Daphnia pulex: one gene and its partner. The protein of the gene in region 1 purifies or fractionates together with the protein of each later gene. This does not show direct contact. Links are inferred from orthologs where the notes say so. Each region holds a gene or a part of one and is shown on either strand. Other genes may lie near its edges. The genes, in order: dual specificity tyrosine-phosphorylation-regulated kinase 1B-like and DDB1- and CUL4-associated factor 7.

The links.
Region 2: the proteins of dual specificity tyrosine-phosphorylation-regulated kinase 1B-like (region 1) and DDB1- and CUL4-associated factor 7 purify together in Drosophila melanogaster (affinity purification with mass spectrometry; 3 studies listed by BioGRID, with this or other methods). This does not show direct contact. The link is inferred for Daphnia pulex from reciprocal best matches to the Drosophila melanogaster genes mnb and wap.

The regions. Positions count from the first base shown.
Region 1 is NC_060021.1:8,753,517-8,770,386, reverse strand, and holds dual specificity tyrosine-phosphorylation-regulated kinase 1B-like, read left to right. Parts: upstream 1-7,849; 5' UTR 7,850-8,339; intron 8,340-8,529; 5' UTR 8,530-8,738; coding exon of another isoform or gene 8,739-8,823; 5' UTR 8,824-10,046; coding exon 10,047-10,719; intron 10,720-10,794; coding exon 10,795-10,973; intron 10,974-11,043; coding exon 11,044-11,392; intron 11,393-11,546; coding exon 11,547-11,833; intron 11,834-11,976; coding exon 11,977-12,304; intron 12,305-12,384; coding exon 12,385-13,553; 3' UTR 13,554-14,631; downstream 14,632-16,870. Other genes in the region: maternal B9.10 protein-like, read left to right, coding at 124-261, 335-516, 591-1,065; 39S ribosomal protein L33, mitochondrial-like, read left to right, coding at 5,131-5,174, 5,248-5,351, 5,419-5,460, 5,537-5,571; uncharacterized protein LOC124194269, read right to left, coding at 2,595-2,633, 2,724-2,918, 2,986-3,282, 3,356-3,882, 3,948-4,400, 5,639-5,789, 5,856-5,943, 6,020-6,132 and 4 more; Kv channel-interacting protein 1-like, read right to left, coding at 15,425-15,472, 15,550-15,612, 16,551-16,681. UniProt on the Drosophila melanogaster protein: Role in the specific control of proper proliferation of optic lobe neuronal progeny.
Region 2 is NC_060025.1:4,757,946-4,774,261, reverse strand, and holds DDB1- and CUL4-associated factor 7, read right to left. Parts: upstream 9,099-16,316; 5' UTR 8,899-9,098; coding exon 8,792-8,898; intron 8,705-8,791; coding exon 8,563-8,704; intron 8,501-8,562; coding exon 8,402-8,500; intron 8,340-8,401; coding exon 8,217-8,339; intron 8,152-8,216; coding exon 7,870-8,151; intron 7,802-7,869; coding exon 7,684-7,801; intron 7,574-7,683; coding exon 7,398-7,573; 3' UTR 7,171-7,397; downstream 1-7,170. Other genes in the region: exosome complex component RRP43-like, read right to left, coding at 119-237, 296-399, 467-587, 654-948, 1,010-1,184, 1,244-1,260; uncharacterized protein LOC124202359, read left to right, coding at 4,639-4,733, 4,805-5,147, 5,231-5,910, 6,386-6,507, 6,651-6,787, 6,876-7,073.

The DNA of each region.
Region 1 (16,870 bases):
CAGTTGTTGAAATACCTTTAGTCATTCGCACCCAACACACACACACGGCTGTTTCCCGTTTTCTTTTGAGTTTTGTTCAACCTGTTTTTTTGAGTCGAGAGACAAAGAGACTCGATCGAAACAATGAAAGAAGAAATCGAAGCTGCGGCTCTTTTCATTACGCAACTGGTGTCCCAGTCCAGTCAACTTGCCAACCTGCCTGAAGACCGGCTACAAACTTTCAAGAGGCACCTCATCAGGCTCTTTGAGGAGAGGTTTCATGTAAGAAGCAATTCTGTTAATTATTAGTCTCGTCAGTTGTGTTTCAATGTTTCTATCGACTTGACTATTTCAGAACCACTGGTTTCCTGACAGACCTCAGCGAGGTCAGGGCTTTCGTTGCATCAGGTTAAATGGTGGTAGCCGTCCTGATCCTCTCATTCAGAAAGCTGCGCTTGAGACTGGGCTTGAGTATTGTGATCTGAGGCTGCCGGTGGAATTCACCATGTGGGTAGACCCAAGGGAGGTCTCGTGCAGGTGGGAAATTCATGTTCAAATGACATCTTGATTGACAATTATTTTCAATAATGATCATTGTTTTGGCCTTGCAGATTTGGCGAGCATGAAGGTTCCTATTGCACCGTGGCGTCGTTTGAAAAGGAGACGGACGCCAAGGCCGTTGCTGGTAGCACGTTAGCGCCACTGCAAGTCGTGACCGACAACGACAGGAGTTTGGCTGTCTCTCAGCAGCAAATTAGCCCTCGCCGAACCAACACCAGTAGCAACCGCAGCAGCCGAGGATCTCCGTCGCCGGTCAGCCCACCGCGTGCAACCATCCAGCAGCAGCAGCAGCAGCAGTACCGACTCAACTGTTTTTATCCCAACTACGACCCATCGCACAAGGGCTGGTATCCTGTGACTGCCACTTCTTCCTATAGTTCTCTCTCACCTCCTCCACCCATGGCTCTCAACTACCACGCACCCAAATCTCGCTTCGTCCAGCAACAGCACCCATGGGGCTTGGCTTACGTTCCGACCGTCCGCTACCTCAACAACTGGCCCATGGGTCAAATGGTCAAAGTTTGAGGTGAGAGAGGAAAAGAGAGAAAGACCAAAAACAAAAGAAACAAAAGGCTCATCGTTACACAAAACGACAACACAATGTTCCAAATCCCTCGTCAACACTTGCCTTTCGTTGTTCGGTTATTTTTGTCGTCCGTCATTTCTTTTTCAAAACTATTACCTCTAACGATATTTGAATTTTGTTTGTGATAAGTTCCACTCATTTTTTTTCCATCTCAGCTCCCGGTTTTCAAAGTTTTTTTTTCTTCTTTTTTCGATTTTAAAGGGGGTGTGTGTTTTCGTCCTGAAAGTTTTGTCCTCTCTCCTTTATTATGTTTTTTTTTTCTTCTTCTTGGGCGCCCCTTCGACGAGTCACTGGCGATTACACCTCGGCGTGCAATCTGTTTTGCCTTTGTCTGGCTCGACATCCGCGAAAAAGCACCGGCACCACCACCCCCCTAACAACTTTCTTCCGTTAATGAAACAACCAACTCTTTATGTGATTCATGTTTGCTACTCTCTCTTACGAAGTGCACCCCACCTTTCGTGACTTGATCTAGATAACAGAAAACAATCCATTTTTCTCGGACCATTTAGCAATTTGAGGACCTCCCCTTTACACAGTGTCGAAGAAGAAAAAAACAAAACATCCGGAAAATGTTCCCTGTTGGTGTGTGTGTATGTTTGTAAGAAAAACTAAGAATCCGTCCCAGCTATACTATTGATCTACTATCACTATATATGTATAATCGAACACATCTTTCCGTTTCCCAATTTTTTTGTTTATTATCCTCTATTCTTTCGTGTCCTAATTTTTTCCCTCCCACTGTATCTGTGCCGCGTTTGGTGTTTTGTATCTACGTATCGAAGTTGTTCCTCCGGTTGATTTTGGTCAAACATGTTTCATTCCTACTCGTCCTAAACAAGCAAAAACAACAACCAAATAAGAGAATGTATTTAGTCGATTATATTATATAGTAAATCCTGATTATTCCCCCTTCCCTGTTTTCTTTCTCTTAATTCCATAATGGCTGGGATTTTCTCAATCCTTTACTCCCAATTCTTAATCACAATACAACTTTGTTTCCGCATAAAATAATTCCGAAACTAATTGGTCGATTATTTCCTTTCGAATAAATAGATTTTTGTATTTGTTTCTCCGCATGGGAAGTTAAAAGGGAAGATTAACAATGATTGAAATCGATTAAAAAGGCGTAGGGGTGGAGCCATGCACTTATTTCTTGAGGGGAGACGAATGTAATATGAAAAGAAAGAAGTAAAATGGAAGAGAAGAGGAAATGTAAAAAAAAAAAAGTGGCAGGTAAATTTAAAATGAAAATAAACACCCACACGCAGTGTCATCTTGCAAATATGGACGGAATCGGGTTGGGAGACGAAAAATGATCGTCTTGGCACGAAAAATGAGTTTTTGGGACGGAATGGTCGGGTCAAAAAATAAAACGTCGAAATAAAAATAAAACGTCACTCGGGGCCGGAGCAAATCAGGTCAACGTAATAACGTCATTTTCTTTTTTTTCTTCTTCTTCTCCTACTTAAAGTGATGGCGCTTCTTCCAATTTCCTCCAGACCACCTGTAAGTTTAAATAGGGAATGAAATGAACTCGTTTAACCAGTTTCTTTTTCGTCTTTGACTCAATTTGACACGTATAGAAAATCCTTACGTTGCACATGGCGTGAACGAGAGCCCGTTCACCGTCTCCAAGGGCTTCTCCATCAGTAGCCTGCTGACCAAGGCGGTCGACCTCTTCGTCGGCCAGCTCTGAATCGGGAGTGACCAATCCGCTCCTCTGACGGGACGAGCTGCGACTAACCGACGGTAGGACTCCCAAACTGGATGGTTCTAGAAATTCTCTGACCTGTTTGATTGACAACACATTGGAGTTACTACAAGTGGCAGAAAATGCAAAACCAAAATAACTAGACCTGTAAAACACGAAGCGCACGAGTGACGGCTTCGGGACGGGAATGGACCAGTTGATCGTCTTCTTGTTGAATCTCGTCCGAACGGATGCCAAGCTCAACGGCCCGTTGATTGTGAACAGCGTTGTAAGGCGGAGGGTGGGGTGGGCGCAATCTTTGCTGCTGCTGTTGTTGAGGTTGCCGAATTACGTTGTTCGACTGCCCACTTCGCTCCTCCTCCATTTGAAGTATGCGAAGCTCCAGTTGGCGAGTGTATTGCAGCAATTGCTCGGCCAATACAGAACGATGTTGAGAGTGATCCTAATTAAGAGAGAAAAATGTGGTTAAGCAACTTTTTCATTGAAAAATTAGGTGGATTGGTGGTCAAATTTACATCAAGTAATCGATCTTGGCTGCTGGTACGGATAACCCGCTGGTGGACCATGCCCGAAAGAGTCTGAGGACGATTGACCGATAAATGCGATCGGGATGGATGCATGCTGAGATTGGTTGGTTCATCCGCGTTGGTGCTGCTGCTGCTACCGTCGCCATCATCACGGACGGGTTGCTGTTGCTGATTCAGACCAGCCATGTTCAATTCGGTTGGGGGTGGCGACGGAGTGGCTCCGCAAGAGACACAAGGAGCTTGTTGGATTTCGCTCCTTTCTTCATCCAAATAAAGGCAAAGTTCTTTCAGTTCTCCATTATCCCTCGTCAATTCTTGCTGTCGACTTTCGAGTTGCTTAAGCTTATTCTGATAAGACGCGACTTCTTGGCGCATTACGGACGCCGTATAACGACCGAAACGTTGCCACTCTCTGGCAAGCTTCCGTCCTTTCTGGCGATCATCATCCAAGAAACAGCAAAGATCTCTGAGCTCTTGATTATCTTCTTGAAGCCTTTGATATGATGATTTTAGACCTAATAAAAAGACAAGAATCAAATGATAATATTATGAACTAGTGGGGCATGAATGATGTCTTTACCTTTGATCTCTGTTGCTTGAGTTGCAATTCGATTCTGAGCCTCCAGTAAACGTCTGGCTAAGACTGGGACAGAGAGCATCATCAGTTCCTCCTCAGACATGTGGGTAGATGTTTCTTCATCCCCATCATCTTTTGTTGCAACAGGTCTGAGATTGATCTGAGAAATTTGTTGATTGAAGGCAGGCAAGCTTTGATAACTTGATGGTCCTGGATTTGGTATCAGCACTTGTTGTTGTTGTTGACCTGCAGGAGCTGGTCTGATTTGGTTTGGTGGGATATTTCGGCGAATTTCCCCTAGTGGAATGTATGGTTTTCTCTGTTGTTCTAACGAAGTAACAGGTACTCCAGGAATTCCACCAGGTGCAACTGCTGGCTTGGTGTCAGTTCTGCTGCTACCAAACTTATTCATAGTTGAATTTGGCATATGTGAGTAGCTTGCTCGAGTCGTTGTGCCTGGGTAAGGCGGAGGTTCAGAAAAAGGTCGAGGGATGTTGTTGTTCATTGTGAACTTGGAGTCACTTTTAACGAAAGATTCAATAGGTTTCAGCGCCATTAGCACCTTTATTTAAAAACTGTTAGTACCGTTAAAACACACATATTCACTCACAAGTATTAGGTCTTCAACGCACATTTAGAGAAATGAATGAAAACACAGAGACACTACTTCTTAAATACAATCGATAGCAGTCACCCAAGCTTTAGACGCCAGGTTTACACAGGTAGACATTTCATTCCTCAATTCTATAACCTCGATTTTTAACTCGGCATTTCCGCATTACTTCGCCAGTTCTCCGCTAGGGAGCGAGTGTGGAATTTCTTCCTTCGACTTTTAACCTAATTAAACATTTATTCAATTTTCTACTCATTCCACTGTTTTGTTTCTTTAAATTGGAAAAACTAAGTATCACGTAAATAAATAAATTAAAATTTTGTACTATTTCATTATTTGAAGTTGAAGCCATAGAAAAAGAACAATAATTTTAAAGTAATCGATCAAATTCATTATCGATATGTGTTGTCGTCTGCTTTTTTTCTGAAACACATTGGAAAAAAGCCTGTGTTTGGCGTTGAATTTGCTTTTGAATATTTTTGTAAAAAATCCCAATTTTCTTAAAAAAACCATTAGAATATTCACTTAACAAAACCAGTTAACCACTAGAAAGTTGTAAATCATCAGTTCAACATGCTGCTTACTAGAGTTCTGTTTGCTAAAAAAGCTAAAGCCAAGTAAGAAACAATAGCATGAATAATAAGTGAAACTCAATTTTTAAAAACTATAATTTTTTTATTCTGTTTGCAGGGACGTCTTGGTCATGTTAGAAAGCATTGTTTCAGGACATAGGGTTAACCTGATTCGACCAAGATTAGATGATAAATTGGAAATTATACGTTTTGACCCTTGGAGTAAGTTCTTCAAAAATAAATTGTTACTGTAGCTACTACATTTTAACACTAAATTTTGGGTTTTCAGTTAGGACCATGTGCATATATAAGGAGAAAAAGAAAGTTCGTAGTATGTAGAGAATGTTGAATAATTGTAGAATAAAGTTTTTTCCAACAGTTGTAATGCATTGAATTTTAATCCACAGAAAACTTTTTCACACACTTTGACTTGAAATTTTAATGCCTTCCTCTTCCACGCCACTGCGGCTTCTGATCTTGATTCCACGAGTTTCCTCCTTGATTCCAACCACCTTGGACTCGGCCGCCTCCTCTTTGACCTCCACCACCACCATCGCGATATCCACCTCTTCCACCTCCATCCGGTTTACGTTTCTGCCATCCGGGCATTTCGGGTGGTGGACGTCGGTTTTCAGTAGCACGACCACCTCGATCAGGAACCTTTCATAACGATAATTTCATTTAATTAATAGGAAACTGATGTGGCGCAATCAAGTTAAAGCCTACCTCGCCAATGAGCATTCGTTGAAGCGGAGTCTTCGTCTTCTCTCTAACGGAGGCGCTACTTGTTTTCTCCTCATAAGCAACATCCTCTCTGGTAATAAAGATGTTTCAATAAGCATTAAGATAGATTCTAGTTTTCCAGCGAGACAGATAAACATATTTACTACCTAGCGGATAGCAAGCGACTGATATTCACATTGGGCTCTGCCAGCATGCTAGATCTCAAGGGTTGGAAAATTGCCGATACTTCATCCATTTTACTTTTAACACTCGGAGACCACTAAATACCAAAGAACGTCTCGTCTTAAAATGAGTAGGTTTTCACAATTTTTACTTGGTTCTTACCGTGAACGATAGGACTGTCACATCAAGCCGGGTTAGCAACATTTCTCGTCTTAGTTTATAGTCCTTGTTCAGTTCTCCCAAAAGTTGGTGAAGCTGACTCCATTGTTGCTCTGTCAGTGATGTTTTCAGTAGAGGAGATCCTGGATAGTCTTTTGGGGCTGTTGATAAAATTTCTCGAATCTTGACGGCCATTTTATTGAAAAGTTGCTTGGCAGAAATATCAGAAGGTGGTTTGCTAAAGCCCAAAGTCATTAATGCAGATTTTAGTTTTTCAGCTGTTGGGGTTTCCTAAATTGTAGAAATATATGAGTCACAGCATTTAAAGGACAAACTTGTTTAAATATTTACAGATTTTAGGGAACATTTTTCCAGTTGATTTTCAAGATTATTCATCATTGCAGCTTGGCATTCAGAAATGAGAAAGTTTAACAGTTTAAAATGATTTTCTCTAGCTGTAAGCCTCAGGGCAGGGGGTCCATCCATCAAAACGCTATAAGGACAATCTGTGCATGTGAAATGTTACACATTTTGTCAATTGAAAGAGTCCCTTTTAAGATATCTTACAGAGTTCTTGTAAAAGTCCAGCCAATTCCATACAAAACATCTCTCCCTCTTCTGGCTTTTCAATGGCATTAACCATATCTTCGAGTTGGCAAAGTGATCCTAGTTTGAGTGACAAAAAATTCACAACTTTACTCAGATCTACTATGTACTCAGGGTCATTCCTTTCAAGCAGGCGTGCCATTTGAACAACATCATTAATCGGCCCCGTGTATCTACAAGTCAGTTCAACATATTAGGTATGGCAGAATGTTATCATTTTATTCAACAATAAAGTACCCTAAGTTCTGAAGACTAGTACAAATGGTATCACTTTCCATGTTTAAATTCAATTTCAATTTGAATTCGAACTTTTATTTGACGATAGCCCGACGTGCTCCCTACGAAGAGTTGCAGACGTCTGTGCTTTGGTGTGTGATACACGATTTGGTGATTTACTTTGAAAATATGGACAAGTACAACAACGCCAGTATTTCAAATTCGCAACAGCTGCAACAAATTAGGAATAAATGTATTGACTACACGTTTCAGAATTATCCGTTTATTGAGAAAGTTAGATAAAAACTGAATACAATTGGAAATGGAATTTTTAACAGGCTAATTTTATTTCACCATGAACTTGCACTTACATAATCTCTTGATATTTTGAATGTGTGGATTTTCTAACGCAGATTAAAATTTTTTGTCATAGCCTTGATCTAAAATTTGGAATGGAATTCGTGATAGATTAGTTTTCTTGGAAAACAGTTGTTGTTGCATTCGACAAAAAAAAAAGAACCGTACGGCGCTGTTTCACGTTTCTTCAGTTGGATTCCATTTTTTACCAGAAGATGGGGTTTACTATTTCGAATTAAGATTAAACAAGCTGGATAAAATAAAATCATTTATTTTTAGTTTTTTAATAAATAAAAATAAGTTTAAAATTAAAAATTTAATTCTTTAAATTATATTTTTAACTAGTTGTTTTAAACCTGATTGGGTGTTGCATCCGGTAGCCTCTTCTTCCCTCCAAAAACACAAATAAAAATTCATGAAGAAGTTACCTTTAGTGGCCGTTACGAAGCGCTGGTGTGCAAAGCAACGCCATTTGCAAAAGGAGAGAGGGGAAGAATTGTGTACAGAGGGCGCTCGTCTCCGTTAGCTGTTTTCGGGGCCTTGTTGATATGTCAACACGTAATTCCAATCGCCCAGTAAAAGAGTTAAAAAGTTGCTTAATATCACGGAATTAGTGGGCATTGATTCATCATTAATTGTTTGCATGGTGAAACTGTACGGGATTCGTGTAAAAACCGTTGGTGACTCACAAGATTCGTAGTGTTTTCGAGTGGGAAAGTTTCAGTTTGCCGTGCGAGACACCCGCCATCACTGTGTACAGAAAAGTGTATATACGCCGTGTGTGTGTGTCGTGTTGTGTCGTCTGGCTCGTGAAAAAAAAACGCCATGGCAGCACACAAAAACAATTTAAAAGCTGGGTCCTAGTGAAATTTATCAAATATATTCAATCTCTTGACTGTGTAGAACAAGAAACAAAGCATAAAGAACAAGTTTAGACTTCCCCTCATTGGACTGTTTTGAGAAAAGGTATTTTTCTTGAGCATTTTTACTCGCTCACAACATTTCAGGCTTTTGGCATCCAATTAATTAAAAAAATCGTTTCCAAGTTTTGGCAGTATTTTTACTCCAAACAATGTTTTTTTAAGAAGCCTTCATATGATTACATAATGTACACATTTCGTTCTCACAGCTAATTCATATCTCTATTATCTTTCAGGTGATCATCGCTTGTGCAGGAACTCTTAAACGACAAATACCAAAGAGTGTTTTCAAGTGAATTAGGCAGTGTTTGTGTGTGAACCAGCAAAAAAGACAAGAAAGAACAGGTTTTTTTCGGAGAGAAGAAAAGCCGCGCATCACCTCATTTGACCCCGCCTCCAACAGTATTGAAAAGGTTAAAAGAGGTCATCGAGTGACCTCTGCTGAATGGCGATGGAAAGTTCCGTTCTGGTCCAGCCTAAGCGACCCGACTGGCACAAGCATGAACAGATGCAAATCCACCACACTAAAAGTATGCCTTTTCTCATTTTAAACGAATATTTTAAAAATGAATCAAGTTGGTCGCCAGGAATTTTCCCCCCAACGGAAAACGAATAATGAATTGATTCATTTGGGGTGAGCTTTTCGTGTGTGTTTGACACGGTCGTCATGCAAAGTCAGGGAGTAGGAGAGAAGAAATCACGTGAAAATTCCGGTCGCTTCTATTTATTCCCTAACGGCAGGATTCTCCTCCTTGTTGTTGTTTTTGTTGTTTTTTGCAGTCGGGGCATTTTTTCTTCTTCTTCATTTTGTTTCTCCCCTACCCAATTCCTACTCTTTGGTTGAGTGGACCGGAAGTCTCGTACCACCACCACTACCACCACAGACAAGACACAGGCGCTGGTACTACTCCCGAAAATGGATCGAGAGGCCAGAGTATGTGGAATGCCAGACATTTTCTCTTTCGTCTGGCTTTGCAAGCAACGGGATGACTACAGCTGGGCGGGTGGGGAAGATAAATAAATGGAATCATTATTCCGTTCCATTTCTAAAAAAAGAACCTCGATGTTCAGGAGAGAGAGAAAAAAAAAAGGAATGCCGTGTCAAAATTTGTGTGTCTGGTTCATTAAGTCGTTTCAATGACGGTCACTGGCTGGCTGACTCAAGTGCGTCACGTCGTGACGTCATTTCCGGTTCAGACGGGGCTAGACTGCGTCATCAATCGGAGGTGTTGCGACGGCGGTACTCCCCCCGCCAATTTCACCATCGACACATGCCCAACGAATTGTTTATCTTTTGGAACAGGTTCATCTTTTTTCTTCTTAGAGGCCAACGACGAATCGACGAAAATTGTGTGATTCATCATTGATCTTTTACACGCCAAATACCGAAACGGCCTCGTTGCTGCTCGGCGCGCATGCGTTTTTCGTTTCCGTCTCAGCCCTGGGATGCCTGGCCACAACTAGAGTGTGTGTGTGTTGTCCATCCCTGGGTGTTGTTTCCCGGCGGGTCGTTGATCGACAGACGGGCTCGTATATATGGCCTCTTCTCTCTCTCTCTCTCTTTGCCGTCTAGCCATTTTCTCCTCTTTCTCTTGCCCTTCTTCTTCTTTTCTTCGTGCTGGCCGCCGCCGCCGTCACGCTGCTTCCCCTCCTTGTTCACGTCTCTTGCACCAACTTTTCATCAGACTCTCTCTTTCACTGTCTCTTTTCTCCCTCCTGGCGCTCACGGCGGCTAAGAGTACTCGGCCGTCGGATGGGGAAATCGGGGCGGAGTCAGACGCCAAGTGAACTGAAAATAGGGACCGTTTTCGTGCCATCTGGCGGCGGAACAAGTTGTTCCCTGAACGACGCCGATACACACGCACACATATATGAGAGTTTGGGGGGGGGCGGTCGGTTGGAGATTCCGAACAAATTCCGACGGGGACCGATCATTCCGTTATTTGACAAAATTGTATTTATTTATAAATATATCTACACACACTCTCGACACGACAAACAAGAGATAAACATGGGCTCGTTACCATGCGGAGGAGAACAAGAAGCGACGGTCGAAAATAGTTTTCACGAAAAATACCTAAACATAAATTTTTGCCTCATAACTTTTGTGTGTGTGGCGCATTTTTCATCATTTCTTTCTTCTTCTTCTTTCGTTTCTTTCTTTCGCTCCCGGTTGGTGACTGTCCTTTCCGAAACGGAACCAGCCGGCGAGTGTATAGTCGTCTCGTCTTCATCTTCGTCGTCGTCATCCGGTCGTCCGAGTGGCAACAGCGGCGTCGTTAGCAGCGGCGGCGGCAACAACAGCAGCAGTGCTAACAACAGCACAGCCGTCTATGGCCGGCTGGTGCCCGAAGAACAGCTGGCAGCCCTTGGACGAGGATTGTCCGTCATCAATCCTAATGCCGCAATCAATTCCTCCTCCTTAGGTAAATAAATCATCTGACTCTAGTACTTAATTCTGACTCCATTTTAACGTTGTTTCGTATTTGTTTTTTTTGCAGGGAGTTCCTCACTCTCTTTCGGTGGTGGAGCTGGATCTGCCTCGACGTCAGCCGCCGGCTCTTCCTCCGACTTGCAGACGATGCAGTCGCGAATACCTCGTCAGTTTAGAGACCCTGCCTCGGCTCCTCTGCGAAAACTTTCCGTAGACCTCATCAAAACCTACAAACACATCAACGAAGTGAGACAATAGTAGTCATACATTTCGTCGGTCTATTTTGTAACTAATTCTATATTGCTATTTCCGCCAGGTTTATTATGCCAAGAAAAAGAGAAGGGCGCAACAGCAAGCCCCAGGCGAAGATTCCGGTCAGCAGCACAACAAGAAGGAGCGCAAGGTGTACAACGATGGCTATGACGACGACAACCACGACTATATCGTCCGGCATGGCGAACGCTTTCTCGATCGTTACGAAATCGACTCACTCATTGGCAAGGGCTCGTTCGGTCAAGTGGTCAAGGCCTACGATCACGAGGAGCAATGTCATGTGGCCGTCAAAATCATCAAAAACAAGAAACCTTTTCTCAATCAGGCCCAGATCGAGGTCAAATTGCTCGAGATGATGAACAAGGCCGACGCTGAGAACAAATATTATATCGGTAAAATAGCATTTCTTCCTTTTCAACCTGCTCACCGACTCTGTGTGTGGTCGGGAGGAAAAGAAACAAACAAAATTTAATTGCCGTTTTGTTTCTTTTCTTTTCCTTTAATTTTCTCTATTGATTATTTTATTTTTTCTTTCTTTCTTTACAGTGCGGTTAAAGCGCCACTTTATGTGGCGCAACCACCTGTGCTTGGTGTTTGAGCTGCTGTCGTACAATCTGTACGATCTGCTGCGCAACACCAACTTTCGCGGCGTCTCGCTCAATCTGACTCGCAAGTTTGCCCAGCAGTTGTGCACCGCCCTGCTTTTCCTCTCCACGCCTGAACTGAGTATTATACACTGCGACCTCAAGCCAGAGAACATCCTCTTGTGTAATCCCAAGAGGTCGGCAATCAAAATTGTCGATTTTGGCAGCTCCTGCCAGCTCGGCCAACGGGTAAGTGTGGCGCCCACTTCAGACGACGACCAAACAAAGTTGCATAAACTTGTTTTTTGCGTTTTTGACTGGCGTCTTCTCAGTATTTTGCGTTGGGCGAGTATTTCATCGTCGTTTCTTTTTTGTTTTTTTAACGGTTACAGATATACCAGTACATCCAGTCACGGTTTTACCGATCACCAGAAGTGCTCCTAGGCATCCCCTACGATTTGGCAATTGACATATGGTCATTGGGGTGTATCCTGGTGGAAATGCACACGGGAGAGCCGCTATTTTCAGGCGCCAACGAGGTGGACCAGATGAACAAGATTGTCGAGGTGCTGGGCATGCCACCACGGGCCATGCTCGACTCGGCTCACAAGACCAAAAAATACTTTGACAAACTACCCGATGGCTCCTACGTCCTCAAGAAATCCAAAGAGGGCAAAAAGTATAAAGCGCCGGGCCATCGCCGCCTTCACGACATCGTCGGTAAATATCCAATTTCAAATGTTCAAAACGTACCGGAAACCCTTTGTGGTATTTATCGATTTTCTTCCTGTTCTGGTCAGGTGTGGAATCAGGTGGTCCTGGGGGTAGAAGATCGGGTGAAATCGGACACTTTGTATCGGATTACCTCAAGTTCAAGGATTTGATATTGCGGATGCTGGATTACGACCCCAAGACGCGTATCACACCTTATTATGCTCTGCAGCACAATTTCTTCAAGCGGACGGCCGATGAGGGCACCAACACGCACAACAATTCGGCCTCTACCAGTCCAGCCAGCATGGCGGATCATTCCAGTCAGGCGGTGATGGCGGCGGCAGCAGCGGCGGCGGCTGCCGCAGAAAGTAGAGCGCGGTCGGATCCGAGTCACGGTGGTCCCGTCAATTATTCGGCCATCGTGTCGGGCTCGTCGACAGCCTCGACAGCAGTCCAGTCTTCTGCTATGGAGTGCGAAAGTCCCAGAGGTCTACCTCCTTACCTGCACCAGCAGCAACAACAGGGATCACGGCCGCATCCTCACCACCTGCCCACTTACTCCAACTCTTCGTCGTCCTCATCAGCGGCGGCGGCCGCCGGAAGGAGATACGCGTCTCATCTGGATGCAAGTGGTGGTGGTGGTGGTGTAGGACTTCAAGTGCTGAATAGCGGCAATCCAAGTGTCTTTGCGTCCGGATCTTCGGCGTTCATCGGATCAAGCTCGGCTTTCTCGGTGGGTAGCAACAACGCGGCCACGTACAGCAACCTGGGCGGTGGAAGTGGAGTGAACTATATCGGTGGGCCTTCGGCAGCTTTGTCGGCGACGACATCATCGCTGGACTGCACGCAGAGCGGCAGCCTCAACTTGCCCCTATATCAGACCCCCTACAGTTTAGTTCATCCGCCCGGACCCAGCGGTCTGTCCACCAACTCGTCTGGTTACTTCAACGCCTCATCCTCCTCCAATTCCATCTACCCCTTCCCTTCCAGTCACGGGAGTAGCAATATCAATAGTAGCAGTAGCGCGTTTAGCAGTATGAATGGTCCAACAGCTTCGTCATCCTCTTCCGCTAATCAGCTCATCTACGCCAACGAAATGCCGTCGGCGACAGGATCGGCCGTGGGTGGCGGAGCCATCAAGAATTCTCGGTCGGGCCCTCCACAGGCGACGTCGGCCAGCGGTAGCAGCGACAGGTCCGACAGTCCCATGCAAGTGGGCGTTTGCGTCCAGCAAAGTCCCGTAGCAAGCCACTGACAGATTGTTTTATTTTAACACATTTTGAATTTTGTTTTTCTTCTTCTTTTACGACGCTGTTCTCTTTTGTAGAAACACACACACAGGCAGAGTAGAGAAAGAAAGTGAGCGAGTGAAAGCAAAAGTCGTGTGAAAATAATAATGAAACCACACAACAACCCCCCTTCCCTTCTTATCCATCCGGAATGAAAACCTTGATGGATTTTGTTTTGCTCAACCTTAGTACTACTGTATTTTTCATGACCGCGAAATGTTTTTTCTCTCTTTTTTATATTAGCGAAAATAATTATGCCACACGACTCCTTACGTCCCCCCCACCACCAATCGAATTATCTGCAATGTTTTATTCCCGAATTTTTTAAAAAGAGAATCCCGAATCAATCACCCGATTTTTTTTTGTGTTTAAAGCAAAAGAAAAAAAATGAATACCAACCTGAAATGATTTTCTAGAAAAATAATAATAATTAGCTGGTTTGACGCGGAAAGAGTTCCTATCCATCGTCGTCTCCCCCTCTACAAACTGCCTCATTTTGATTATTAGTAGCATCAAAAGCCGATCCTTCTTAATATAATTTCTCCTCCGCAACTACTACATCAACTTCACTCTCCTCCGAATCTGTCTTTTTAAAAATTAGATCCGCGAATAAAAAAAGCGACCAAAATGAACAAAAAAGAGAAACATGTAAAAAAAAACACCAAAACCCCCAAATATAGCTTAAGACATGAGTTTTTAAAAAATGGAAAAAAAAAATAATGCAATCGATGATTTCCCCGTACTAAATAAATGTATTTGCATACGCCGAGAATAAGGAATCAGACAGGGAACCTGTGCGTGTCTTTAATTCTTTTTGTTTATTTGTGTGTGTGTGTTCCTTTTTCCTGGTGGCTCGAGAGAGAGAGAGAGATGCGTGTGTGTTTTAATTTATTCGGCTCTTCTCGTATGTGTAGACAAATATTTTCTTTCGTCTGTTTGTTTTCTTCCCATCTTTTATAGACAAGAGAATTCTTCATCGACGGTAAAAATAACGATACAATTTGTTGGATTGTTTGTTGTTTTTTTAAGGATAAATATCCCCCCCCCCAAAAAATAAGAAAAATATTGAAATTTGTGCGTGTCGTCGTCTTGTGTGTGTCCTCCGATCGATTGCAAATCCTTGACGTGTTTTTCCCCTCTCTTGTCTCCTCTCCCAAATCGTATCTGATGGTTTGTCTTGCATTGACGATAATTTTAACAATTTCCTTTTATTTAATTTTTGGTTTTTTAATTCTTTTTTTTTCCTCTCTTGCCAATATTGAGTGCGTGTGACATTGCGTTCGTTTGTTCCTCCCTCCCCCATCTATTTGAAGCTCCTCATTTGACCAGGAGGTTATTAATGAGAGAGGAATATCTTGTGAGATCGATCATAATTTTTTTTTTAGTGATGAAACGATGTGTACATATAAATGAAGAGAAAGGGGATAGAACACCATTGAAAAAATCGTGTCTTTCTCGAGAATGTGGATATACATGCACGAAAATATAAAGAATGAACGAATGGGTTAAAAGAAAAAAACATTCACTTGTCCTGTTAATCAGAAATTCCGGCAATAGACACTCGATCAATAAAAAAACACGTTATTTGGCAGGATTCCTTTTTTCTCAATTATAGATCCGTCAATAATTTGTTGTTTGTTTTTGTAATATATAAAGTCATCTAATGAATTGATAGAAAAACAACACGCTTCGAAATATCTCGGGGTAAAATTGAAATATAATTTCTACACGAAAGAAATCAAAGCTACGGAAAAATCCAGGCAAAAATTACATAAGGAACAACACTGACGGGATAGAATTGTTTCCTTTTCACTTTTCCGAGGGTGAAGGAAATCCTTCAAAGGGTGACGTCCATGTTCGCCATTGTGTTGGCGATTGTTTCGTCCTGTCACGCAGAAAACCCGTATACATCAAATTTAATTAACCACTAGAACAGCACCTAGAGTGAGTCAACATTGTTACCTTGGTGCACGTTTCCAGGAATTCGTCCCAAGTAACCTGGCCATCGCAATTGAGATCGAGTTTCTGTCGTCACGAAAACAAAAATCATCATCGTTATTTTCAATAGTTTTGCCTACATTTTTGTATTTTAATAACCCACAAAGTAAAACGAGGCAAAGGAACAAAGCCTGTGGCTACAATTAAAACTCGGCTGCGTTTGAGTGCAAGGATTCTTTCCCATTTGGAACAACGAAACAAAAGTTCATTTCTGTTGTTCGTTCAAGCATAGACGAGTAAATTCCTTTGATCAACAAGAATCTTTGAACTTTTTTTTTTCTTGCCGAAACTTTAAAGGTTCTATTTCTGTTCGTTTAAAAAAAAGTACATAAAGGGCAAGGCTGATTAAAATCTTGTTGAGCCAAGCGTTAATAATAAACAAATCCAGTCGAGCAGACGAATTTAATTGCTTGCCCAAAGAGGCTGAGGCATCAAAACACGACGTTTCTGGATAACATACTCCTACGATATGCACACACTGCTGATTATTCATGCATTAAGATAAAATTGGTTGGTTATGTTTATGTCTTTGCTACTTTCTTCAATTAAAACAGAAAAAATTGCAACTGTGTGCGCCAAGGGGATTAGATCGGAATTAAAATGAACATGCAACGCTGTTGTCTTCCTTTTCGAATCAGAATCAACATTAAACTCGACCAAGTGGTCATTTCTTTGTCACATCATGGGCTTCATGGCCACATGAGTTGTTACTTTTCTCATTAAAACTTGACTTTAATGTTCCATTCCACGTGGCAAAGAGACAGAACTGATATCAAAGAAACTGAATCCACAAACCCAGTGAACTAAATATTTCAAAAATCAACTAGAATTACCCATGGCCACCTCATGCAAGATGGAGCAGAATCAATGTGATCACCACCAAAAGTAGTAAGTCACCATTTTATAAAATTCGTTTGTATTGTTGTACGAAAAGGAATAGAATTGAAAAGTCTTAGCATCAATACCTGAAATATGCGATCTGCGTGTCGTTCTGCAAACATTTCGTGATTTCTGCGTTCGGCCATTGCAGCTGCCGAATTGGTGGTCGATGGACTTGGCATCATGTCAGGAATCGTTTTACTCGAGAGTAGATTGCCTTTGGGTGAAAGAAAGAGGAAGAAGGGAGACACATCCATATTAATCAAATGTTGCCATGATGAATAGATTCGGTATATTATGCTGGTGGTATCGGAAAATGAGGGAGAATTCTATCAAAACAAAAAAAGGAAAATCCCTCGTCTCATATTTCCCGCCAAGGATCGATCGATAGCGAATGCCAACGGCG
Region 2 (16,316 bases), on another chromosome or scaffold:
AAAGTAGTTGAATGTTTTTAATCATGAAGTAAAAAATTTAGATTGAGAAAACTTTGAATTGAAACTGACATTTGAAACTGTATTATTTTCAATACCAAACAAGGAATGACGAACAATTTCATCGTTCAGCAATAGATGATGAACAAGCCTCTTCAATCAATCTTGCAACCTCCTTTGTTTTCAATTCTGATTGCTGAATAAGTTTTTTCACCTGTTTCTCATCTAAAGTACATCCTCCTGTAAAGTCAAGGGAAGGTTATGTCCAAATTTAAGAACATCATAGAAATTTTTTTACCTGGCTTATACATATGTGTAACTGAAGTACCCTCCATGGTAATAGATGTTAATCCAGCAGCCAACTGCTCCTCTTCAAATGTAGGATCACTGATCAAAATACCACTGTTCAAAATAATGAGAAATCATGATTTCATAGAAGTTTCTTCATGTTTTTTTTTTAAGCACATACTTATCAAATAAGGAGAATGTTGATGTAACTGGCTGCTTAATTGTGTCAAAACTCATTTTTTCATTTGGGTTGGAAACTAGTTTGTCCATCTCCTCATCATAACTCACAATGGGAAGTTTCACTGTAATGAATCAGTGAATGAATTAGATTATAGAAAATAAAACATAAAACTTTAGAATAGAATTACAATTTTTCAGTGCAGCTACTAATGCCATCACACAAGCATCTAGTAAACTCCCATCAAGGTTAATGCAGAGTAGATCACAATGAAGAACCCAAGCCCATTTTGAAACCTTTATGCACAATGTTTCCAAGTCCATAATAATATTGTTATTGACTAATTCAGCTATAAACTGGGTAGCAGCTTGAGCTGTTTCTCCAGGAGGGCCAGATTTTATTTGTGAAGAACATAAGGATGGCAGTGTCACATTTGGGATGATGAAGCCTTTAGAAGGCTCCTCTCTTTCTGGAGCAGCTAGTTCCTGGATTTGATAGATTATTGTTGATAATAGTTTTTGAAAAAAATAGTTATGAGTGTTTTACAGCTTTGATGCCACAAATGACAGTAGTATTTCCACATTTGACAATAGCTGAGCCATCAGCTGTTCCTATGGAACCAGCATTTAGAGTCATTTTTCTGAATTCCAGCAGTTTCCGACCGTCTGGGCGTGACTTGCGATCAAGGAAAGTCTTGTAAAATTCCAATGGTTGCAGTGTTCTGAATTAAGAGGTTGATATCAAAGTGCCCGCAAAAAAACTTCATAAAACATGACTTACTTGTGGTCAGTTGCCATGTTTAAATTTGTATTGGAAATAGAATCAACGCATACAGTGACGTGATGCGTAATCGGAAACACTAAATTGTAATTAAACAGAACATATATTAGTTTTGGAGTACTGAGTTTACACTGACGTAAGTGAAATAATTCATTACCAAATTGTAGTGATGTTTCGTTAGTGCTTTTTCTAAACGTTAGCGTTATCCGTTAAGTTAACGATGTCCAATTTTTTCACGTTCGTTAACGCCGTTAATTAACGCCGTTAAAAATGTCTCCGTTAACGAAAATTCGACGTTATTTTTACCGTTATTTAATAAAAAAATTGCACTATCAAATCACTGAAATCAGTCACGGTCTTGATTACTTATATTTAAATTGCTGCTGGCGTTGAACAATGTCACAATGAAGCAATGATCAACTAAAAAAAACAGAAACTGCGGATTAAATAAACGCACAGACAAAAGAAAAAAAAACAAGTTCCAACTAAAAAAGTAAAGGCCTCAATAAATCCTTATTGCAAGTGAGGAAGACTTTTGCGGCCAAAACTTCTTCCGCCGTCCTATTTTTGTGTCCTAGACAGTGCCATCCGGCAATGGAAAATTCGCGTTCAGATGATGCCGAAGAAACTGGTATAACCAGTAAATTATAGGCCATTTTGGATAATTAGGGGAAACGACCAGACAAATCCTTCCAGTAAGAGATCACATCTTGAACTGGTGGATCCTTAGAAGGATCAAATTCATGACTTGCAAAGTGGAAGTTGTCTAAAAGTTCAGTTTCAATGCAGTCGAGGGAAGTGGCTAGAAGGTAGGAGCAGTCGAAATCAGGATCTCTTTAATCTGTCATGAAATTAAATCTTCTTTCGAGATCTTCTAACATCGCAGATGCCACGCTTATTCACCGTCAACAGGAGCATCAGAGTCTGAATCTGACATTAAAGATTTACACTCTGATTCTAGTTGTTTCCCTACTCTACTTATACAGTTTCGTTTGCCACGTTTTGAAAGCAAAAAAAAACCTCAGAGAAGCTAAGAAGACTACTGCTCACTGTCATTGGCTATTTAAATTCGTTTTCATAGTCAACCTACTACAGTAAAATGTTGGAAGCGCGCAAAAAATACAAATTTCATTTTGAAAAATCCAAAAATTTCATATTTGGCAGCGCTGTTAAAAACAAAAATAACGTCTGAAAATAACGTCTGAAAAATGCCAAACGTTAGCGTTATCCGTTAAGTTAACGAACCCCAAAAAAGGTCCGTTAACGGACTTTTCACGTTATCCGTTATCGTTAACGAAACATCACTACCAAATTGAATTTCAAAGGTTCAAACAATAATAGTAGGTAGCAGACGACGTAAAATCTAAAAGCATGGCCAAGCAACGTTGTCAGAAATTAAAAAGTGTGTGTTGCTTACTTGCTTAGTTGCTTCCTGTTTGCTGCTGTTTCCTGTTTGCGAGATTAAATAAAACCGATTGGCAGAAAATCAGCAGATAACACTTGAAGGATATTTTTCCTAAATATATAGAAAAAAACGTTCGACTCTCGAAATACCGGTCACCTTTAGAATTTAATGAACTTTTTTGGCATCAATATGGTAATGGGGTTGTAGACAGAAATAGTTCTGTCTGACGGCAAAAAATCGGTAAATTCTGTGGGAACAAGATAACTTGATATCGTAAAACCCAAAAGGTAAAAAAGTTTGGAAAATACCGAAAATCAGTACAACAACGGTTCATATCGCACAATTAGTAGGTTGCCTTTCAAATCCAAAAACCTCATTTATGTACCTCATTTAGTAAACTGTTAACTAGCTCAAGTCAGGAGTTATTTTACTTATTTATTTTTTTACAAAACAATTTGTGCATAAAGAATGCTTGAGTGAAAATGGTGTCAGGGAAAAATGTCGTGAAATAAAAAACAATTTGTGGACTAATGTCTACAGATGCCATCAGTAACATTAGATGTTATGATTTTTCAATCGTGCGTACCGTTTTAGTACCTTAGGAAAGGTGACATTCCACAGTTCAAAGTGAACTGTATCCACTTGGCCTGTTCATTCTTAAAATAAATCCAAGGGATGGAATCTCTCGCAATCCCGCGACAGTACACGCGTGTAGTGCTATTGTTCAGAATATGAGGCGCGTACCGCAACAGCCTTAAAATAAAATTTCCCGTCGCATACGCCGGCCGATTAATATATACTCTTAGCGAATTAATATGGAGTAGAAATTGAAATTTTTCGGTGGAGGGTTTCGAAATGTAATTTTAAACGTCCTCGGGTGGAATAGGCGAGGTCTGCTGTGTTCAGTCATATCGAACCCCAAGGACATTCTTTGTCTGTTATTCAGGAAAGTCCTCATGGTCGTTCTTGAGAAAACCCTTTATTGATGACGGGGACGTTAGCTCTTTTTAAGTTTGCATGTAACAACACCTTCGCCGTCCGAGGAAAAAAAATTCATAAAAGAGAAAATCAGCACATAGCTACCGAACCAAAGACGTCTTTACTTTATAGAAAGTGAGTTAGTAGAAGCTGCCAAGGTCGAGTTAAAAACGCAAAAGCTTTCGTCGATTGCTTTAGTCATGGTTGAGCTTTATTTCGACCCATAAATGATCAAGCTCAAACTCGATTTGATTTGATTTATTTACACCTTTCTTATCATCATCATTTTGGACAGCCAAAGATTTGATTAAAACAGGTTTTGTCAACTACCCAAGTCCTCCACTAGGTGGACAACCAATCGATTCATTTTTTTCTTTCAGGTGGCTCTCTCTCTCTTTGATACACACACACCCGTTTTTGTGAGAGTTACACAAGGGGCAGTTACTGGCTCTCCCACTAGTCTCCTTCCAGCCACCGTCACGACCGAACGCTGGCTGAACGACGATATGATCTTCAATTGTATCGACCGAGTTGTCGGGAACGCTTTGACTCAGTGCCAACTATCGAACTGAAGCCGTCGTAGGATTTCGACCGAAAGAAATTGAGCATTGCTGACCTTTTTACTAGAGTGTTGTTCATTCTGCGCAGACGCTACAATTCACGACAGCGTGGAGAAAAAAAGGTTTTCCCCCCAACATTTTGCTAGAATTCCTCTGACGATTCGTGAAACAAATCTGTGACGTGCGCAACTTTCTTATCTGGCCAGCAGCTTATATTTTTATCTTGTGCAGTCGGTGTTGTTGACGACTCGCTTGTGAGTATGACACATTGTCTTGGTGTGGTTGCGAAAATGAAGAGTCAGTCGTTCGTGGATTGATTGTCGTAACGTGTTTTATCTCTAAACGCTACATATCGGCGGCGTTGGTCGATATATCGTGCGACTCAGCCTGGAAAAGTCTGCCTGCTGCCAAGACTATATATCGATCAAGCAACAAAGACGAATGGTCTCGAGATGGGACAATCACTAAGCTTAAACAATCATCAACCCCCCAATAGCCGACTGACTTCTCCGACCTCTCACCGACAATCCCTTAAGCGCGTACACAGGTAAGGCTGTCGTTTTTGGGAGACTTTCATTTTTCAATTTGTTTATTCTCAATTTGCTGCTCGATTTACAGTGAAGAAGTCGGAGATGGGAAAAGAACCAGCATTTCGTTGCCCGCTTCGCCTTCCTTCCGCAGAAGAGCTGTTAGCGCCGATCCTCAGCACGAACAACTCGAATCGCCTAGCAAATCGCCTCTGTCGTTTGATTCGATGCTGAAGAATTTCGAAGAGTTTGCCCAACATCAGTGGCCGACTTGGGCCAAACGAAGAGGCTGGATCGCCGACATCGCTCCCGAAACTGTTAATCCATCCACTGTCGCTACCGATGACGGGAGCGGCCGCGTGATTCAAGTCGACAAGGATAAATGGATCTTCCTACGACCCAGAAAGAAATGCGCAACATCCATAAGTCCCATGGTACAACACGCTTATCACAGCAATCTAATGTATAATCTATAATGACTTATCGGAGTTTCTTTTGTCGTTTATTTAAAATCAAGGGAGTCGCTAGCATTCCAGTAGAAACGGTCATCGAAGAAGATGTTCTACTGGACTGCGCTGTGGGCAAAATGGTGGATATCCTGCACATCGACGAAACTCGAATTGTGACTGGAATCAATGGTCAGAGATCACGTCGTAGCAGCGGCTATGCCTCTGCTTCCAGTTCACCGTCTGCGATCAAAAGAATAGCTGAGCCCTCAACTGCATCGGTCGCCATCACAACGGCGGGCGGTCATCTGGTGGTCCCCGAAGATTCAAACGATGATTGGAGGTTTTCAAGCCTTTATGAAGTGACTCTTCGTTGGATGTTTGAAGCCGATTCTTGCGACTTGATGAGCGACGCCTCCTCCAGCCAGCAGTCATTTGAAAGCAAGGCCGTTAATAATAACCAATCCGTCCTGAACGATTCCGGAACTTCGTCCCTCGGAGAAATGCGTCCAACCGAGGAAGATTCATTTCTAGCTGCTACCGAGTCGTCGTCAGAAACGATTCGAATTTACTTGCACTTCTTTTGCCGACAAAAAAACAAGTTACCCTCATTTATTGATTTCCGTCCTATCCCTCGTCCGACCTATGACATCGCTGCGGGTGTTTCTGACAACGCGGTGGTTCGTGAGCGACAAATGTATGCTCTTGTATTTCAAGACGGAAGCCCCGGCCCCCAGACTTCATTTCCGAGGTAAAAGTGCGTTCGTCTCAAATAACCATTCGTAAGTCGTAACCAATGTCCGGTTTTCATCAAACCGGATACAACCGGTCTCTAGAAAATGGCTAGAGGGGGAGCTACACTGTAAATCTAAATCATCACATCGTCGGCTCAGACGAGCGTCACGTTCTCGAGGCTTTACAGAATCTGGTCAAATCGAGAACGATTTCTTGAGGTGAACTACTTCGTTACGCTAGTCAATTGGCACCTGCCTCGAATAGGTTGAAATTTTCTTCCTATTTCCGCGAATTCTTTGTACTCCTGCATCGATTTCTTTACCATTTGTAGGTGGATCGAACTAGACTCCATCAATATTCTCGTCATAGCCTCTAGTTTTTCAGGGTCCTTTTTGTATTGATTTCCTTGGGGAGTTTGAATTTTAAAACGAGGGTGCCCACAGAGTCAACGTTCTTACACATGCTTTTGTAACTCCTTATCCCCGTTTCAGAGATATTGCGTGCATCGAACTGGTACAACAAATCGTAGAAGCCCATCCTCATCTTTCAGGTTGGGAACCAAAAAAACTGGCCATCTATGAAAAAAGCTGGCAACCGGGAAAAACCAGTCGAGGTACGTAGTCATACTTGCGTTCGTTCGTTATCTGTTTGAATCCTTCTTTCGTCATACTTTTTACCTTCCCTCTCTCAAACGAGTCGGACTCGATCGTACTAAATTCCAGAATACCAAATCATGTTGTATTTGCTATTATTTAGCTCGACTTCGTCGCTTGAATGATTTCGATTGTCCGCTTCTACTTGCCCAACATTGGCAGGCCGATGATACCAATCTCGATGCCTCTAGCTGTGCCAAAACTCTAATCCTTCAAGAAAGCCAAAATGGAGACATTCCGGTAAAATACCATTGCGGGGCTCTAATTTTCGACATATTCCATCGCTAAACTATAAGCGCACCCATTTTTTCTTCTTTCTATATTTCAGTGGGAGGAATTTACAGTGGCTGAACTATCAAGTTTCCTTAAGGTTTTGGAACGTGAAGAGAAAAATCACGAAATGCAGATTCGCGAGAGATACCAACTACTTAACGAGCGGCTACGAGAAACTATGCAACTTTCGAATCCAACAGCTTACAAAAGCATTTCAAGTAATCAAACCAACCACTTAGCAGTCTCAAATTGAATTTTAAAGAGAAACATAAAAATATATATGATGTTAATACCTGCTGATCTTATACAGAATCCGAGTGCTGTGATAGAAAGCTAATAAAACAATGTTGTTGATTCAAATTCAGTCATTCTTTTCCAAGTTTTTGCTTAGTAGTACAGACAAATTCAAAATCTCAAATGTCACATTCTTATGATATTTTCCTTATTTTAATTACAAATCAACGATCCGATTCACGAGAGGATACGAATTATTAAAAAAACACGATCTAAGATAACCTGATGAGAAGTTTTCAGACATTAGTCATACTCAGTTTTGATATATATAGGTATTAAAGCATTAAACTCGTAAAATTTCAAGGGATCGATTGTAGCAAATGGCAATCCAATCAGGTTGTGTTGCTCCCCACTGGATTTGGTTGATTTCACCTTCAGCCGCTGTGTAAGCAAGTATGGGATCTTCAATGGCTCGCGGCATTTGCTGGATATCCCATATCAAGGCTTGATGGTCATCACCTAAATTATTACAAACCAGATCAAATCGGATCAATTATATACAGCAATTGGCAGCATACATCGTGCACACGGTACTTGCACAATTCTAGTTACAAATAAAAAATATTTACCAGCTGTGCAAATATGACAGGAAGAATGTGGGGCCCAAGCGATGCCATTTACACATGCCCTGTGATTACTCAAACGAGCGACGGGAGTACACGGCACTCTTACATCGAGTATTACCACCTAACATTTGTAACAAAGAAATTTGTAACGTGTTCTCTATTTGAAATGAGGTGAAAAACCGAAAATACTTCACAAGCATCCATGGATATCGTTGCTAAATAAGAAGGGTCCTGTCTATTCCATGCTAGTCTTAACAGAGGACGATGCTGAGGATCTTCATATATGATTGTTGAATGTTCTAGGTGTCTAAGGTCAAACATTCTCACGGAGCCATCAGCGCCAACAGATGCAAACATATCTCGCCCGCCTCCTGCCCGGCTGAATGCGATATCATAGACCTCTTTATCATGTGCGATTAACTGAGTTTTTACGTGTCCTGCTACACCAGGGCCACCAACTCGACCAACAACCTTTAAGATAAATAGTTTGTTATAGAATAATAAGATTTAAAGAAGTTTTAAAGATATTGCTTTACCTGTCCAGTTTCCAAACCCCATATGGTACATGTGGTGTCAATACTAGATGTTCCAATAAGGTTAGGTTCAACTTCATTCCAATCAAAACTTGTAAGAGGAGCACAGAAGTCTGAGTTTTTGTTCTAGAAATTGTTTTCAATGAATTAAATTTCTTGTAAATAATAATAATTCATGTAAAAATTACATTGTTAAGGAGGCATTCTAATCTTGTGTCTGGTTCTCCTGCTTTCCATATGCGTAGATAGTCCCCACTTGTAGCCAGTAAATCAGGAAAAACACCTTTCTGATAACACACTTAATTATTAACATTTCTTTAACCATATTTGAAACAGGATAGTTCCATACCGCATCAGGAATCCACATAATTTTTGTAGTAGGATATGGATGATCAAAAGTACTTTTGGCACTGAATTCTGCTGAATCTTCATCTAATGAAATTACTTGAACTTTGTTGTTGTATTCTTCTACAAAACTTCCAATAGCCAATCTAATTTGTAAAGGAATTTGAGGTTAGTCAAGTTGAATATTACATTTCTTAAACATAAAATACATAATTTTAAACTTCCTCCCTCACCTGAATCTCTTATCTGGACGCACTGACCAATTCATACTGTAAAGAGTCCATGGTGCTTCGTACTTGTAAATTTCCTTTCGTTTGGGAGCAACATTTAGCCCCGCCATTTTTTAGAAAACGACACAATTCCCGGGAATCGTGATCAAATATGCAGAAGTGTTAGAATTTCTTATGTTGGCAATTTTAACCGGAATGACAGTGGACCCACGCAAACAAATAAACCTATCTATTAACTTAGGCCAGACAAGACAACCATTAAATTTTCTCACACTGAAGCTGTACACCAAGCGGTAGAAGTCTGAAACGAAAGTCAGAGTCAAAATCAAATACAGGCAAAATAGATACGATATTTTGAAGAAGAGCGCCACCACCGCTAAATATTGTCTGCTACCGATCGCTGCAGTGCTTCAACGTTCAACCGTTCAACCTTCAAGTAGTAACGTCGCAACTACAATTTGTGAATATTGTTATGTAATAACTCGGAATTTCTTGACAACTTTTCAGTCTCGGTCTTAATACTTTTAGATTTAAAGTAATTGCGATACTATAGAACGAACGAAACATCATACTCCGTATGTTATTATTCCTTTTTAATTTAATAAACACAATCGACTTCTCATGACCGAATTGGTGAATTATCAAAATATTTAGAAATCTAAAATATTTTGGCATTCATGATCAGTTATGTGTACATTGCTTCAACAATTTATATTACACTATTAACAATTCCTCTTTGATTGTGTACAGAGAAATGGAAACATCAAGCAAAATAAACAATGAAATTGAGTCTTTAAATGCTGAAGAATTAAACTGGATTCAGTTAAGAGAGGAAATTGGATCAGAAAGTTTGAAGAACCAGGAGACATTCAAAGAAAAATTCAACAGAAAATTTTCTGAAAATCCTTTTGTTCCTATTGGGTGTCTAGCAACTGCAGCTGCATTGACATATGGCCTGTGGTCCTTTCGTCATGGGTATAACTTTACAAATTGATTGTTGTGTGGTTATTGACCATAATATATTTTTTTTAAATCTGTAATTGTTTGAATTGATTCATTAGGAGACCCCAAATGTCACAAAAAATGATGAGGCTCAGGATTGCAGCACAAGGATTTACAGTTGTTGGCCTTATGGTTGGAGTTGGTGTTGCAAATGTGAAAGAAAATGTGTAAACTTGTCTCTCAGTCCCAATGTATCATATTATTTAGTACACATACATGAGACTTCTCATAGTATAATACATAAAAAAAAAACTCCCTCAATCTAGTGGGATTAAATGTATGGAAATCGCAGTTGAATTATTTTGCCACTCGACAAGGCCTACTACTACAGTAACGACCCCAATCGCTCGTCTTTTCATTTAATCAATTTATATTTTAAAAAACGTCTGCAATGTAGCAAATGCTAGCTCCAGGAAAAAAATAATTATTGTTAATGAATGATCGGAATGACGCGCACAGCCGCAAGACATTTCCTTCTTTTACACGGAAAACGGTTTGGCGCTATTGTTAAAGGACATGTTGCTATGGCAATGTGGAAAGTAAACACAGGAAAAGTTTTTTCAAAATCGTTGGTTTGGATTAACAATTTGTATTCGCGATGGAAATCATGTGTGATAGCAACATTGGTATAGATTATGAAGCCACTGGTAAATCAAATGATTTGGCGGTAAAAATAATTCTTCTTGGAGATAGCGCCGTAGGAAAATCAAAGTATGGATTTGTAGATTGATTGAGCGATGGGTATATGAAGCCATCTTCATCTTGTTGGATAGTATGGTATCCAAAAGAAACTGACGATAAATTTTGAACACAAATGCCTTTAATACTAGGAATGGCAGGAATATTACTCAATTGAAAATAGAGATTTTCTATATTGAGAATTGGAGGCTCTGACTCCCTTTTGAATTTGATTTCCATGAATGAACTGTTCAGCTTCTTTCTGTGCATTTAAAACTTTCTATATCTGGTAAATCCACAACCATCTAACTGCGCCTTGTACTCTGCCCTGTAATTTGAAAAAAAAAGAGTTGTATAAATTATTTTTCAAATCCCAATGATTTTAATCATTTTCCTACCAAGCAGAATAAATGCCAACATTTTACCAATGGCTACAGCATAATAATACTTTAACTGAGATCCAGAAGTAAATGCTTTTGCAGTAGGAGATTGACTTCCACTTACAGAAAATGAGATTTCAAATTTCTTCAAACCATCAGAAATCTTTGGAAGTTAGGATGCCCTGGGTTTAACTGGCAGTATTTCTTGAGTGTCATGCTTGAGTTACATTGTTGGATGAAACCTTCAGCTTGCAGCTTGTGGGGAAGGACTGTGCACCAGGGTAGCATTGTATTTGAGATTGACATTCAGCCCTGAAAAATGTTTTCCCTTTTTACTGAAAATTTCTTATTACGTGATAACTTAATATACAAACTCGGATAGATGCCCACTCTCCTTCCCCTGGCAACTGCGTAAAACGACATTTCCTCATGAATAGAAAATTTATTGAGGCTAGAAACTAAAGATTGAATTATACGTCTAATCATCAAAAACTTTACATAGTTTAGAATATTTGAAACATACAGAAATCTACTAACATGCACGAAAACATGAACAGTCAAGCCAGTCAAGTCAATTTCAAACAGGATTAGCAGACTACACACACAGACAATGATCAGACAATAATGCACTTATGCACAAGGTAGTTTTTCCCAAACAATGCACAGGTGTGTTAAATAAATTTATAACACATAGTTTTGATTTGAATATGTTTATTAATCACATCTTTTTTTAATTTAAAATAAAAATCATTAATCAATTCATTTTTATAATACTTTTTCATTAAATAAGTAAAAGCATTTGGGAATCCCAGACAAAATCCCCCGAGGGCCTGCTCAATGCCTCAATCTCCAACAAAGAACTCACTTGGCAACCTAGCGATCAAGGTCCATATGGACAAGAATCAGCAGACCAACATTGAACTCAAAGATGAGACAATTGCTTCTATCTAAAATCAGGTTAGAAATTTTGAATTATCTGAAGCCTATCTGTTAAAGATTATTGGCTTCTTCCGTAGCTATTGACATTGTCTTCTCATTCCAAATCTTAATCATCTCAATTTGTTCACAAAGTACTAAAAGTGAAGGCCACTGATTTGTCTGTGCCTGTGTTGTGTTGGCCAGCATTTCAGTAGCTTTAATTGACAAGTACATACGCTTCACTAATCCTAACCTTGTAATGATTGAATAGTAAATGTTTAATTCTTGTTTATTATCAGACAAGGAAAATGACAATTAAAACAGAACATTAAAGAAAAGAACAAAGAGAGATTAATTCTTGTTTATTATCAGACAAGGAAAATGACAATTAAAACAGAACATTAAAGAAAAGAACAAAGAGAGAAAAAGAAAAGAAAAAAAGGAGACGAGAAAAAAAGACATTCATTTTTATTTGGGGGGGAAGAAAAAAAAGGGAAACTTAGGTCCGACGAGCATAAAAGATACTTTCTCTTATCATGGACCCGGTCACCCCAGAAAAGAAAAGGTCGATGGACGTAAAGAGCATCAAGATTGTGGCCAAGGGTAGAAATTTCTTTTGATGATCCTTAACATCAATGTTAATCAGGGTGCTGTAGGCACAGATCACCATCTGAAAGATCAAGAAAGCGCAGTGAAAAATGCTGATGCCCAGCCCCCAGCCAGTCAGTCCCCCGATTATGTTGAGAATGGCGTAAGTGAAGGCCTCGCATGACTTGGCAAAGGCAGCTACTGCCATCATGCTTTGGGCTGTATTGTTCCGTGGATAGTTAGGATTGATCTATTGATAAAAATTAAAGTAAATTCTAAGAAAATTAAAACAATTTAAGTAACTCACGGTCTCTGGGTCTCGGGGTTGTGGTGGCGGGGGAGATATTTAAGTTTTAGAACTTGTAGCCTAAATTTAAAAAAAAATTAGGATATATCCTTTCTATGTTTTACAGATTTTCTTTAACTTACATTTAGCTCTGTTGTCGTGGTTTCAGAAGCCCCTGTCATGATGAAAATGGATCCAAAGTAGATAAAAATGGAAAGGAAAGTGTGCTACAAAATGTGTGTCGTGACGAAAACGTGCCGCTCGTGCGATGCTCGAGCGCGTAGCAAATGCCACACGTGCTGAAAAACAAAAGACTGCTGTGAGGCGCGCCCTTATCCCCGGCCGAGCCCTATGATTGGCTAGTTGTCTCCTAGCAGACAACAAGTTCCTACGACCCAGAAAGAAATGCGCAACATCCATAAGTCCCAGGGTACAAGCTTATCACAGCAATCTAATGTAAAATCTTAAATGACTTATGGCGGAAAATCCAGCCCTGGAATGGAACGCTCGTCAAGAGCAACCATCGGAGCCAAGTGTTGGAATGACTCCAATTTTAGCTCGCTGCTCTTTGCGAGTGATCTACGCTCCTCCGATTGTCAGCCTGGAACAGCAATGTCTCGTTGCCGGGCAAGCCATTGAGGTCAACGCTTCCAGCGATATCCAGTTGCTAATTGATGCCAAGCAAATCGATTATTACATTCAATGGATGAATATTCTTCTTTCGGCAGCTACGAACTTGTCTTCGAAAGAGCAACAAGTGGCCGGATTTCCAGCTCATTCATTTTTTACTTCTAACCGAGTTTGTGTCATCATCTACACGTCGCAGCCAGACGAATTTCTGCCGTTTGCCTTGATCAATCTCATCCAGCCTCACGTATTGATCAAAACGGCTGATCAAGAAGTACACGAAATCGCCGTTTACGACATTCGGTTACAACTACCTTGCTGGGCCGATGGATCACCTGTCAAGAGTTGTTTGCTTCCGAATGAAAGCATGTATCCAATCAGTTTGATAGAAACGCGACTCGGTCAGCCGTCCATCATTACTGGAGTTCCACCTTCTCTTTTCCGCCTTGAAATCATTTCTGCTCGCCAATTGAATGTGGAACTTGGACGCCCTTTCAAATTCATTCTCCATGCAGACAATATTTCGAATCTCCAGTATTTGGCTCGACAGTTGGAAGCCTTCCAAACCAAACAAGAAGATTCGAAGTCATCATTATACCGGCATATCTGCTTGAAAACGAGCCAAATGGTAGTGGAAATACCGGTTCCCTCCGCCGTAATCATCGCCGGTCTAAACGATATGCTACTGGATGTGACTTGCCAATTGGACACAAATGAAGAAAAACGAGAGAAACTAGAAGCTAATTTAATACTGAATGCTTTCTCTGTCAAAGCGGAAATGGATCAAAACATTAATTTGCAACTATGCGATCCTTTCAGTCTCGATAGTCGGATCCAGTTGTTGTGGCCGCACTGGTTATCTAATAAGCGCGTCTTGGTACGTGCATTTTGTCGAGCCGACAACCTTCGACTTCACGCTTGGCCTCGCCAAGTGACTGTAGCCACGGCTCTTACGCAATGGATGTTGCAAAATTACTCCCCATCTCAAAATGACGATCCAGCTCCAAAGGATGTCGTCGTGGATAAGGATGAACAACATTATCAGGATGATTTTAGAACTGGTACATTTGATTTCCAGGTTCGGGACACCACCTCCCGTCCTTCTTCCGGATGGATGCAAGCAGAAGAGAAACCACGTCCGTACCAGGTAGTTTTCAACGTTCAACCCGCCTCCATGTGCTGGGCATACCCTCAACCAAGAGCTCTGACTCGGGTTGATGTTTATCCGATTCCTCTAATGAAAGCGGATGGAGCCGGTCAAGATGCGGCACCTGGAGTTGAGCAGGTTGATTGTACCTTGGAGTTTTGGGATCACTGTAGTCAAGAATTCCGTATTCTGAGGCGCTTTTCACTGTCTGAAGTTCGTTTCACTCGAGTTCCTCTGCCCAGCATATCAACGAATCAAACAGCACGCAACGTCCAGGATGACGAGAGGAGAGCGGAGAGGGAACTTTTGGAGAAGCAAGTGGCTTTTTCTGACATGTGGCGAATCGTTATGCATTTTACCGAAGAAAATTTACCGGAAAATCGGCCCAAGAAGATTATCGCTGCCCCGCCCAGTAATATTTCATCTTATTACATTAACTAAGATTCGTTTTTCATTAATATTAATTTATGAACTAGGTTTAGTGGCCTGCACTGAATTGATTCATACTTCAACGCATCCATGGTGCCCGATGTCCAGCTGGGTTTTACTTTCAACCACATATCGTTATCACTCCACAACCAGCTGATCACGCCGCCTTCATCTTCTCTTGACACGTGCTGAAAAACAAAAGACTGCTGTGAGGTGCGCCTTATCCCCGGCCATGCCCTATGATTGGCTAGTTGTCTGTTAATAGCAGATTGGCTATGATTGGCTAGTTTACTGCACGGGAATAGTTATTCAATAAATTTTTTCTTTGTCAGGTTACGGAAATCGTGATGGCAGGGAAGCTTACCAAACGGGTTTCATGTTAGCCAAAACAACAATCCGGCGCGAATCGAGGTGCTTTGCTGCCAAAGCATTTTTGCGTCCCGAGCAAAAGCGAGAAAACCTTCACATCGCAATACATTCACACGTCACGCAAATTCTTATTGATCCTAGGACTCGTAAGCCTACGCTGTCAAATTCAAAAGCAAAGGAAAAATCTACATAATCCAGGCTTCATAAGAAATTGTTTTATCTGCTGGTTTCACACGCCACAACTTCTCATGTTAAGTGGAATTGGCCCGGCTGAACACTTGAAAGGGTTAAATGTTCCCGTCATCGCGTACTTGCGTGTCGGAGACAAGCTACAAGATTACATTGTCGCCGCCGGCATGGTCTTCACCTTGGAACAGCCCGTTTTTATGGTTCAGCTTATCTTCAAAAACCTGACCAGCATTTTACGCTGCGGCTTGTTCGATTCTGGTCCGTTGACGGTTTCGGGTGGTGTCGAGAGACTTCCTGGGCCAACACTTAATACGCCCCCGTTCTCGCGTTCACAGACGTTTTCTCCGATAAAAAGAAAAGATTATAAAAACCCATGCATTGTTGTACAACGACTTTTTAAAAATAAATTTCCCTTGCGCGTGATTAAGTTTTTGGCCGATAAGGTTGAAAATAACAGAGCATATAGATAATATAGTTACCTAAAAGATGTGAAGAGAGAAATAAAAAATACCCCAGGGAAGTGGCTCTATGAATTAAAATAACGAAAAATTCACGATTTTTCGTGTTTTTTTTCGATGCGCGTGATCTAAATATTTTTTAAACCCATTCAAATTTCCAGGATATTTTTTAAAGACGAAATCTCATCCCAATCTCAAAGAGAAATCCGATAAAAAAAAGTCGAAAAATGAAACAGACTAGGCTACCTACATTCAGTCATGCATTCCCGTTTTGTAGCGTACCAGAAACATTCCACTATAAAACTGGGGCAGGACAAGTTTTTAGTCAGCCTACAGTAACCTGGAGCCCATGTAATATCCAGCAACCTCAAATTCAAGTCCCAATAGGTATTATCACCTCTGGCCAGTGGGCAACACGAATAGGAGATAATTCTCCAGGAACAGAGGGAGACATATA